3 linked regions of the Drosophila melanogaster genome follow. The protein of the gene in region 2 interacts with the protein of the main gene of each other region in a pairwise test. Each region holds a gene or a part of one and is shown on either strand. Other genes may lie near its edges.

What was found.
Region 1: the proteins of CG13585 (region 2) and ng2 interact in a two-hybrid assay, tested with the Drosophila melanogaster proteins (one large-scale study listed by BioGRID).
Region 3: the proteins of CG13585 (region 2) and CG14323 interact in a two-hybrid assay, tested with the Drosophila melanogaster proteins (one large-scale study listed by BioGRID).

Annotation. Positions count from the first base shown.
Region 1 is NC_004354.4:3,239,520-3,242,301, reverse strand, and holds ng2 (new glue 2), read left to right. Parts: upstream 1-1,730; 5' UTR 1,731-1,767; coding exon 1,768-2,106; 3' UTR 2,107-2,276; downstream 2,277-2,782. Other genes in the region: ng3 (new glue 3), read left to right, coding at 245-685.
Region 2 is NT_033778.4:24,529,568-24,533,943, forward strand, and holds CG13585 (uncharacterized protein), read left to right. Parts: upstream 1-2,026; 5' UTR 2,027-2,069; intron 2,070-2,077; exon of another isoform or gene 2,078-2,167; intron 2,168-2,544; exon of another isoform or gene 2,545-2,811; intron 2,812-2,872; 5' UTR 2,873-2,902; coding exon 2,903-2,974; intron 2,975-3,030; coding exon 3,031-3,076; intron 3,077-3,329; coding exon 3,330-3,544; 3' UTR 3,545-3,824; downstream 3,825-4,376. Other genes in the region: CG4622 (uncharacterized protein), read right to left, coding at 3,934-4,376.
Region 3 is NT_033777.3:17,620,685-17,623,839, reverse strand, and holds CG14323 (uncharacterized protein), read left to right. Parts: upstream 1-1,727; 5' UTR 1,728-1,739; coding exon 1,740-2,372; 3' UTR 2,373-2,641; downstream 2,642-3,155.

The sequences.
Region 1 (2,782 bases), on a different chromosome or scaffold from region 2:
AGAACAAAAAACCCGCAAGTTTGTCAATTGTTCATTGTGCCCAATTGTTCAAACAGTCAAGTAAGTTAAGTGCAAATATATAATATAACTTTTAAGAAATGCCCAATTATGTATGTCCAATTTATATTCGCTACGCAAAAGATATGAAAGATTTTGTTACGTAATTGCTTAACTGTGGTAATTAGTATAAAAGACCACGGCCTCTGGCTGCAGACATCAGTTGTCCAGCCACTGGCCATCCAACATGCGCTACTCCTGTGTTCTTTTACTTCTGGCCACCGTTGCCTGTCTGCTAATCCCACAGACAGGTGGCTCCACGGCCACCACAACCTCAACTTCTGCTTCGGCTACCACCACCACTTCCGCCTCGGCCACGACAACCACTGCGTCGGATACAACTACTACCACAGCGGCTACCACAACCACTTCGTCCTCCTCCTCAAAGAGTAAAAAGAAGAAGAGGACGTATCACTATACACGTCATGTTTATAGGCCAAAGCGGATACGACATATCTATAGGCACAAGGCCGACGACGACGAAAGCTCTACCGATCGCACCAGCACACGCAGCCGTCGTCGTCGCCGCAGCAGTAGCAGCAGTAGCAGCAGTGGCAGCACCAGTAGCCGCAGTGGTAACAGTCGCATCCGCCGCAGGAGAGCCCGAAGTGCCCGACGCCTGTCTTAGTGACCACATCTTGTACAACAAACCAACTGATCTGATCGTGACGCCTTTGAAAATGTAGTTTTTCTTTTTGGTTTTCTTTTTTCCGTTCAAAACACTTAAGGCAAATAAAATGAATATTTCGATATTAGTTCATTCTGCTTATCAATGCCGCTTAAAGCATTTACTTATGCTTTTACTTATGCATTTACTTTACAAAACAGATCGAGATAAGAAGCATCACTTGTTGTTTAAAGTGTATGTCAAGTTCGTTACAACGTATAATTAACCATTGAAATTTTGATCAAATAGTTACTTTCAGAAAAAATATAAAGGGCATACTCCTACAATAAATGCTATATATTATAATCTTAAGTATTATTATCTACCCCAGACGTTATTTAATATAGTTAATAATAGCGCTTTCCTAAGCTACGTACACAATGTGTTTGTTTGTCTATAATTCAGACAAGCTACAAATGAAAGTAAACAATTTATGGCAAAATCATTTTAATTGGTTAATATTTTTCCATTATTTGCTTAAGAGAATAAGTTTAAAGCTGATGTGTTCCGTGTTTTAAAAGCCGTAGTATACTTTTTAGGGGAAATTATTTAAGTGGCAGAATATATAGTTGAATATAGTATAGTATATAGTATATATATAGTAAAGAATCTATATATATAGTATAGTATATAAAGTTGAATTTTTCTGCAGTTTTTACAATGCGTTTATCGTATATAGATTTAACCTAAGTCATTTGCATTTATTTAAAAACCAAGTAACGGTTGACAAAACTAGACTTCCGTTGGCATTAGTGGCTTAAGTGATTTTTATAATAACAGTTAATAAATTTTCGCAAAATGACAAGCTCCATACAAAAATAGATTATCATGCCTCTTGTACATGTGCAAATTTTATCTGTTTAAACAATTGTGCCAATACGAAAAATAGCGAATTTTTGTTTGGCCAAAAATAACATCTTTTCTTTGGCTGACACAGTTTGGCCGAAGAGGATAAACCCAGTAGAGAAGACTACTATAAAAGCTGGCTTTCGTTCTTCAAGACAGCATCAGTAGCAAGGCATCTATTGTAGCATTTGCTCACCATGAAGATCACCGTGGTACTCGTACTTCTCGCCACCTTCCTCGGCTGTGTGATGATCCACGAGTCGGAGGCGTCCACAACCACCACGTCCACCTCCGCCTCGGCCACTACCACTACTTCCGCTTCGGCGACCACCACTACTTCCGCTTCGGCCACCACCACCACTTCCGCTTCGGCCACCACAACAACAGCCTCACCTTCCTCGAGCTCAAAAAAGAAGACTGTCACTCACTATAAGCGAAAGGTCAAGAGGCCAAAGAAGGTCAGGAAAATCACAAGGAGAAGGGGTCTCAGGAGCCGCAATGGTCGCAGCAGTAGAAACCGCAGATCGGAAGAATAAGAGATCCAGGACCAATAGAAAATCCACGCCACTCTCAATGCTGAACCCCAGGAACCAATTGTTTTCTTTTTTTTTTATTTCTTAGTCCATAAGCTTAACTAACACTACAATAATTCTTTTACAAGTCAATTAAGAAATCATAAAAAAATATACATATTTTGTGACATGTCAGTCAAATGTTATTTATTCAGTTATTGGCCAAACAAAATTTAGCAACTAGTTGTTTTGCACAATTGTTTAAACATTTGAAATGCCTTTACTTTATAAATAAATATATGATGCGCATAAATGTGTAAGTTCTTGTATATTTTTTTTAACATCTATAGTGATTTAGCTAATCATTTTATATTAATTTTCAGAACAAATATTTTATTCATGATCATCTGAATGTGAATGCGAAATCTGAAATCCTTTTTAATAAGTTGATTAAAATGCAGACGAGCATTAAACATTTATTCGTCAAGGCTTTTCTGGGCCTCAAAAGTTGCGTTTCCATTGAAATCCATTAGCACAAAACCGAACTCGAGGAAACCCGCAAAAGCCCCAAAAGGAAAATTTGTGCAAGCGGCAAAATACTCGTAAGCAAAAACTTTTCAGCCCAAAAAAGCGAATGGGGAAATTCGAAAAGCTGTTGCCATAGATACCGCACACTCACACACATATATATATATATAGG
Region 2 (4,376 bases):
TTACGAGTTCCGCGAAAAAAACGAGAAGAGACGAAATCAGTCCCACAGTTCACAAAACAAATGCGAAAAAGTAGTAGTCCAGGTCGAATGCCTTAGCCGGCGGCTCATCATCGCGCATCAAGGTATAGATTCCCTGATGGATGAGCTCCCGGAAAGTGTCCGCCTTCATTTTGATGCTGATCCCGTGCTCCTGCAGGCGCCTCATGAACTCACTGGTCATCGCCAAGTACGGCAGACTGTTGGACACGCAGTAGGATTCGAGGGTAAAACCCACGGCCTGGCGAATCATGTTGAAGCGCGGCGTCTTCAGCAGGTACTGCTGCATCAGGATCAGCTCCAGGCGGTCCTCGTACAATATGTATATGTAGCTCTGATTGAGCCCATCCCGGTACGCCTTTAGCAGGGTGGCGTTCAAGCTCAAGCTGTTCCTGCGGAGCCGTTCGGGCAGGAAGGTTTTCGCCTTCATCTGACTTCTGTAGTACTCGTCGTGCAGACTGGGGTAGGGAGCCCTGGCCAGATCCTCCAGAGTGTTGTACTCCTCGTCGTACAGCCCGGATGTGAGGATGCTGGAGAGCGTGGCCAAGTAGACGTTGGTCAGTATAAAGCCTCCGATCGTTAGAATGCCATGGATGGCCACGTCCCTCCAGCCAGCAACTCTGATTTTCTGGTGGCAGTTGTATAGGATGTGGCTGAGGCTGTACAGCAAGCACTTTCCAATCTCGACTCGTGCTCCTCGCGCAGCCAGATGCAGCATTACGGTTCCGTACAAGACAGTCGAAATCACGACCGCCCAAAGGGTCCAGCCGAAGGGCTTGGAGTAGTACAGATAACTGGAAATCGGACGGGCGTGGGGAGCCATGAAGTACTCGCGGATAATCGAAAGTGGTGCTGTGTAGGCCACTTCCAAGCTGAAATCTTTGAAGTAGCAAACAATGTCGATCTTTTTTGTATGTAGCATTTCAGCAACGGCCAAGTATACATCATATTCCGGCAGATCGGGTATGGGTACACTCTCGATGGTGGCGTTATAGCGATAAGTCAGCTCCTTGACCGCTGTGAACAAATATCCTGCTCGCACCAAGCCACCCTGTTCGTTGGAGTACTCAAAGTCCCGAGGAGCTAATGTGCTTCGAAGTATGCGGACAGGAAAGCCTTGAAAGTTTCGAATTATCCTTGCGCGATCGAAATACTCGGACACATTTGATAGGCTGATCGGTTGAATGCTAGGATACGGTAGGTAGCTGTAGAGGCCCTTTCCGCTCATCAGAATTACATTTACGAATCCCTCCTTGAAGCAGTAGGTGTAGAGGTCCTGTTTCGGAAATCCTGGTTCCTCATTGCTCAGGAACACTATGTGCAGCTCATGGAGCTCGTCCAACAAGCGTGGCAGAAGACTGGCAACCAGTGGATTCAGATCTGAATCCATTACACTTACTATGATAAGGGTACTCTCTGTGAAGTTTCCCCGAATTCTAAGATCTCTAGCTTCCCTCGAGTTGGAGGAGAGTAAAATTCTCGGCGAGTCCAATTTGTGGAGTATCTCTGAGGTGGCGCAGCACTCAAAATCGATGAACACATTGAGCTCCGTTTGGAGAGCCAAATTGAGATCCTGGAGTACTTGGACTTGCATGGATTCCGAGTCAGAAGCCCCGACCAAGCACAGAAGAACTGACACCAGCAGAAAAGAAATCATTTTAATTACCATAAGGCAGCGGGAAAATGCTTTTATAGGCTGCGTAGAATGCCCACATGACAAGGCAAAAATATTTTCAGGTTGCATTTAAAAGGATAATGGATTAATTGCCATCCACCCCATCAAACCAAAGCTCAAGAAGACAAATGTCATATTACTCTTCCATTAACCTAGTGTATATTAGCAAATAACTCAAGTCATTTTAGCTGTTTGAGTTGCAGGATGAAGTAGATTCCAAATCAAACAGTTTTGAATTTCCCGCCCACTGAATGGAAACTTTCAAGCACTGGCAGCTCCACCGATATATGCCTCCAGTTCTGGTCGCTGTCCAGCACTACCATATGTGCACTTTTTATTCCCATTCCAATTCCAGTTGGTAAGAAAAGTGTAATTGTTACGTTGTGGCAGTGAAATTGTATCATAATTCTTTTACCATTCCAAATCGGAGCATATTAGAGTGTTAAGACCCGCAAGGTAACGACACTTAATTGCCAAACGCCCGCAGATGAGTTTGTTTACGCCCCCTTTGTGGCAACAAAAACAAAAGGGGAAAGTTGTGTTTACGTTTTCTAAAGCCAGATACCGTTTTCGGGGTGGTTTTGGTTCAATCGGGGAGTTTCCAACGGAAAGGCCTTGTAATTAAGTGTGATAAGGGCCCTCGCTCTCGCTGGCAATTAAAACTAGACGTCTTGTTTCTTCTGATAATCGTGTTTTTGAGTCAAATACCTACACACCAAGCAATCGGGTTTACGTGTGTGTATACACTAAGTGGGGCGGCATTGGGGTGGACCCTTTGCACAGTTGAATCCCTCTGCTCAACTGGCGTTAGCTGTCAAGTGTGTAAGTTATTTGCTCCCAGCTGCCCCAAAATTGAAGCTGTGCTCTGTGGGACCCAAGTGGCAGAACAACATAGTCCAGACATATAGGTACCAGTACATACGACCGACTCGCTCCGCACTCGCGATTTGAAAGCCCCTTTATCGGAACCATATGAGTATGCATGTATAAAACTCGATTGCGGCCGCAAATAAATTAGTCTCAGTTCGGTTCGTTTTGTTTGGAAACAGTTCTCTCGATCTCCGAACAGACACGTCAGTGTCAGTGGCAGCAGGCAAAATGTAGTATTTGCAATTCCACACTCAGTTTTCCCTATAGTATAACCTACTCCGATCTCCGCAGCGCAACTCAGACTAAGGCTAATCCGAAACCATGTCCGACGACTTCGATGGCTGCGAGTGCGTCTGGTCGCAGGAGTATGCGATGCAACGCCTCATCAACTTCGTAAGTTTCTGTGCGCGCAGCTCCCAGCTCATTTGATCAAGTGTACTTCCTTATAGATACGACAAAACCAGAATGCCTGCGGGGACAACGAGTGTTACGATGGTCAGTATCAATGTCTCACGTCTTTTTTTAAGTATGAAAACATTTAGATTTATAATACATTTTGCACAGCATGAAATCAGTAACAGTCTTTTACTCAAGTGAAGATTGTAACATTCATTTTTCGCATTTGCATTTTTAAAACAATTCAGTATAGACTAGGGTCATACGCGCTTAGTGATAAGTTGCCAAAAAGTATGCAGTGCTTCTACTTGCGGACTATAGTATAAACCATAACTAATCCATCCGTCCTCAGTCACCGGACGCACTCCGCACCAGGCGCAGATCGCCGGACGCGGCGATGACAGCGGCTTCTCCGTCGCCATGATCTTCCTGATCGTGGCCATGTTCATGTACATAGTGAACCCGAGTACCTGGGGCAACTTCACCAGCAACAAGCGAGCTGGCGGCCGACGCGACAATAACCAGGACGGCTCTCCGCCGCAGCCTCCTCCGCCGGCCATCAACTAGGCGACTCCGAGGACCCCTGCTTCTACGAAACCTGAGCATCCACAACACAATTTTCAGACCGCAATTCCTTGTTTTGTTAATTCTCCCACTATTGGGACAGAAACCACGGATAGAACCAAATCAATCGACTTGGTGGCATCCATTCGCACGTTTACACAGAACACAGATTAGGCAAATTATACACCTCTTACATTGTACAAAACACAAAACCGCGCACTCTGAAACACACCGGCTTATCAACTAACATATTTGGACACTTTTTAAAAGACTTTGGAAAACTAACCGCTTTCCTTGTGTATTTCCTTTGTACAAGAGGCTTTAAAATCTTTAAAATGTACATATGGTGGGCGGGAATTGATGTGGTTTGTATTGCCGTCTCCCTGGTCTCGTCAGTTCTCGTTCTGCAGTTTCACCATCTTTTCGCGTACGTTCTTTAGCAGATCCTTCATTTGTTCGTACTTTCCCGTGGAGTCGGGCAGGTTTTCAAAGTTGATCACATCGCTGACGCCCACCTTAAAGTTGCTGCCCACAGGCAGTCTGTCGTAAACGGAGAATTTCAGCAAAGGCGTGCCCTCATAAGACGCCTTAAAGGGAGTCGAGGGTGCTGATCGGGACTGCTCATTATTTCCGGACTCGGCAGCAGATGGACCAACCTCCGTCTCAGACGTGTCATCCAGGTCGGTTGGTGATTTCGATTCATTCGCTGTCGTGTTATGCGACGCATTAACATCCAGCTCTTGGAGGAGCTCCTCCTGCTGGGCCTTCAAATCTTCCAGGCTTGGAGATGGCGAGCGCGCTGTCAGTTCGCCATCTTCGCACTCTTCGGGCGGAG
Region 3 (3,155 bases), on a different chromosome or scaffold from region 2:
GATCTCAAAGTTTGGCCATCTCCACTAAAATATCCCCCTAATATTTGCCCAGACGATATAAGCTCAGTTTCTGGGCCCCAACAACATGTGTTCAAGCATACATATATCATTCGCAATGCTCTAACGCCCACCCCAAAAAAAAGCTGATCCAAGCCTCATCGTCACCCGAGATTTTTAGCAATTGTCAGCAATTTTCTCAATGTACAGGACAGCCCAGAAACTATCTCACAAAACCACTAAGCAAATGTCCCTCGTCCAGGACGATGTGTGCTGTGTATTTTTCTGATTATCCTGGACGGTCAGTTCGGCCAAAGTCGCACACAGTGGGCGTGTACATAGCTGAGGCATTAACATAATTTATGTGGTTCCGCCGGATTTGGCATTGTCGTAAAAAAGGACACTCCATTGTCCGTTTCGAGCTTCGATAACAAAGGCAAAGCCCGGCCGAGGATTGTGGTTTTTATTGTTTTGATGGCAACAAAGTTTGTGGAAAGTTTAGTTAGTTTTTCTGTTGACTTTGCGTATTTTTTTAATTAAATGAATTTCGTGTTGGAGAAATCAAATAGTTGCCAGCTAATCTATGCAGCCATAACTCATATTTTGAAAGAATATCTGGTCGGGGTGTATGAAGTTCATGGTCCGTAAAAACGTGCGAAATTTTCACGGGCGCGTGAATTTTCACAGCCCTTGGTGGTTCTTGTTTTTGTTTTTCCAGACACGGACGTGCGCCACCTCCTTTTTTACCTCGTACTGATTGTTGTCACCTGTTTTTTGCACACTTTATTCGCAGGCCTCCCGCTAAAAGTTGGGTATGCGGGCATGGCTCAGAAGTTGGTGTTTTTCCTGATTCAATGAGTATAGAGTTCTTGAGCAGCACAGCCTTACAGGGTGTTTAGGCGTCGCATTATCTTCAACTGCTTAAAATGTTAGTACACCTGGCACGCAGAACTCATAACTCAAAACGGTTTTTGTTGCCCTCACAAAAGTATGTAATGCGGCAAAATAAAATCAAGCAGCAAAAGTCAAAAACTTCGAGTTTTTCTGTACATTTAATAATGAAAGATTGCTCGTACGTGCGGCTCGCGAGTATTTACGTGGGAAAGGAGAACATTTTTAGGGATGCATACTTGGGAAATCACTGCAACTTTTTTTTATACCTATTTTTAAATTTTTTTAAACCAATATGTAAATTCCGGAAATATAAAATAAAAATAAACCTTCTGGAGATGCGGGGCATCGATCCCCGTACCTCTCACATGCTAAGCGAGCGCTCTACCATCTGAGCTACATCCCCGATGTGAGCGCCGCTAACTATTTTGGACTGTATGTATAAAGAAATAGTGGTTTAGCGTTTTAATTAGATAAATTTGGCAATCTTTGCTTTAGTTTTAATTTAATTTTGGGTTTTCATATAAATGAAATGAAAATAAATAAAATGAATGCCTAAAAAAGGAAATCGTTTTATATAATTTTTATTCAAATACTTAACTTAACTTAAGATATACATTTTCGGATATGCATTTTAATACTTGTACAGATTTCGGTCGGTAACTGGGGCAGCCTTGAATGTTTTTGTATTAATAAAATTTCACGCTTTGTTTGCTTTGCCAAAGTTACAGCACTTGAATGTTCATTACAAGGCCCATTAGGCAGCCTGTCTTCGTGGGACTCACTGAGTTGGAGTTGAGATCGGACGCAAAGTAGTCCGCCTACAGATTTCAGCAGATGCAGTTGGGAAAATGGCAGTGCTCCAGATTTTATTTTTGCTGATCCTGGTCAACAGCAATGGATCTCAGAAAACCGACTTGGATGTGGATGAGGAACCAGATCATACAGGACCAGAACCAATCGATGGACGATCGTTTTTCTTTCTGGGTACTTTGTTTCGTCGTTGGCGTAACCGCTGGATGGCCTCTCACAATCCGGATCCCATATTCGCCGGCCCCGCCTATCCCATATCTGGTTATTACAATTGTCCTGTATATGGCTGCAGCCTGGCGGCTATTGGTCCTCAACCAGGTTACTACGCTACACCTGCAGGATTTTACACCATGCCTCTGAATCAGCAGCAGGCTCAGGGGAACAGCAATGTGTATATCTATCAAAGTGATCAAAATTCCGCGACGTCTGGAAGTCCCATGGGCTATGGGTATCTGAGCGGAGCTTCGCCGATACGACCAGCTCCGCCTTTCCCTCCACCACCACCTGGTATGCCACCGCCCACATCCGTTGGAACGGTACAGGCCAGCGCAGGTGGGTATTCTGGACCAGGAGCAGGACCTGGACAACGGCCAGGACCGTTTCCAATACCCTTCCAATACCCTGGGATGAATGGGAAAACAAGTAGCCGGAGGAAGCGCTCGCCCAAGTAAACAGAGCAGAGCAAAGTAAAAGAAAACAATACAATTTTAATTGAAATGTGTGCGTCAAAAAAAGTTAAGTGAAAAGAGATAAAATTAAGTTTTCGAAACCGGAAAATGTTTTGCACACTAAAAACCGCAATCTATTGCTTAAACTAAGACAAGAAAACTCCAATATCCTACAAAATTATTGGATTATTATTTTAGTGCTGACCAATGTTTTTAAGCTATTAAAAAAGTGTACTTAAATAATTTCGCAATTTAATAAAGACCGTAAAATTAAGTGTTTCCATTGCTTGGTATCAATAAATTTAAATGAAAACCGTTCATCTGTGCAATTAAAATCATTTTGTTTACATTACCAACTAGATTTCGAAAGTGGCGCAGCTCCCCGGAAAAATCCTCAAAAAGGGTTACCCACGCACACACTCACACGTCCATTTATCCATTAACGCCAAAGGAAAAACTCCACAAGCAATCTGCATAAACAAACTCATCATCATCATCCTCACCAGCTGAAGGATGAGCTCGAGGTTCCGGACGAGCAAAGCCGAGCTATCGTAGCTCCGGCATTTGTTTTGATTCCATCATAAACCATAAGATAGCTGCAAACGAGGATGGCTGATGAAGTGGTTGCAAGCTGCCCAAGGAGCTGGGGAGAGATTCAATTGTTTGGCAAATAAATGCCCGGCAGCATAATGGATGGCCATCCATTGGCCTGGTCAGCTCCGTGTCCGCTCCTGTTATTATTTTTATATAACTTGCGAAAATAATAATAGAGCTTGCCCATGCCCA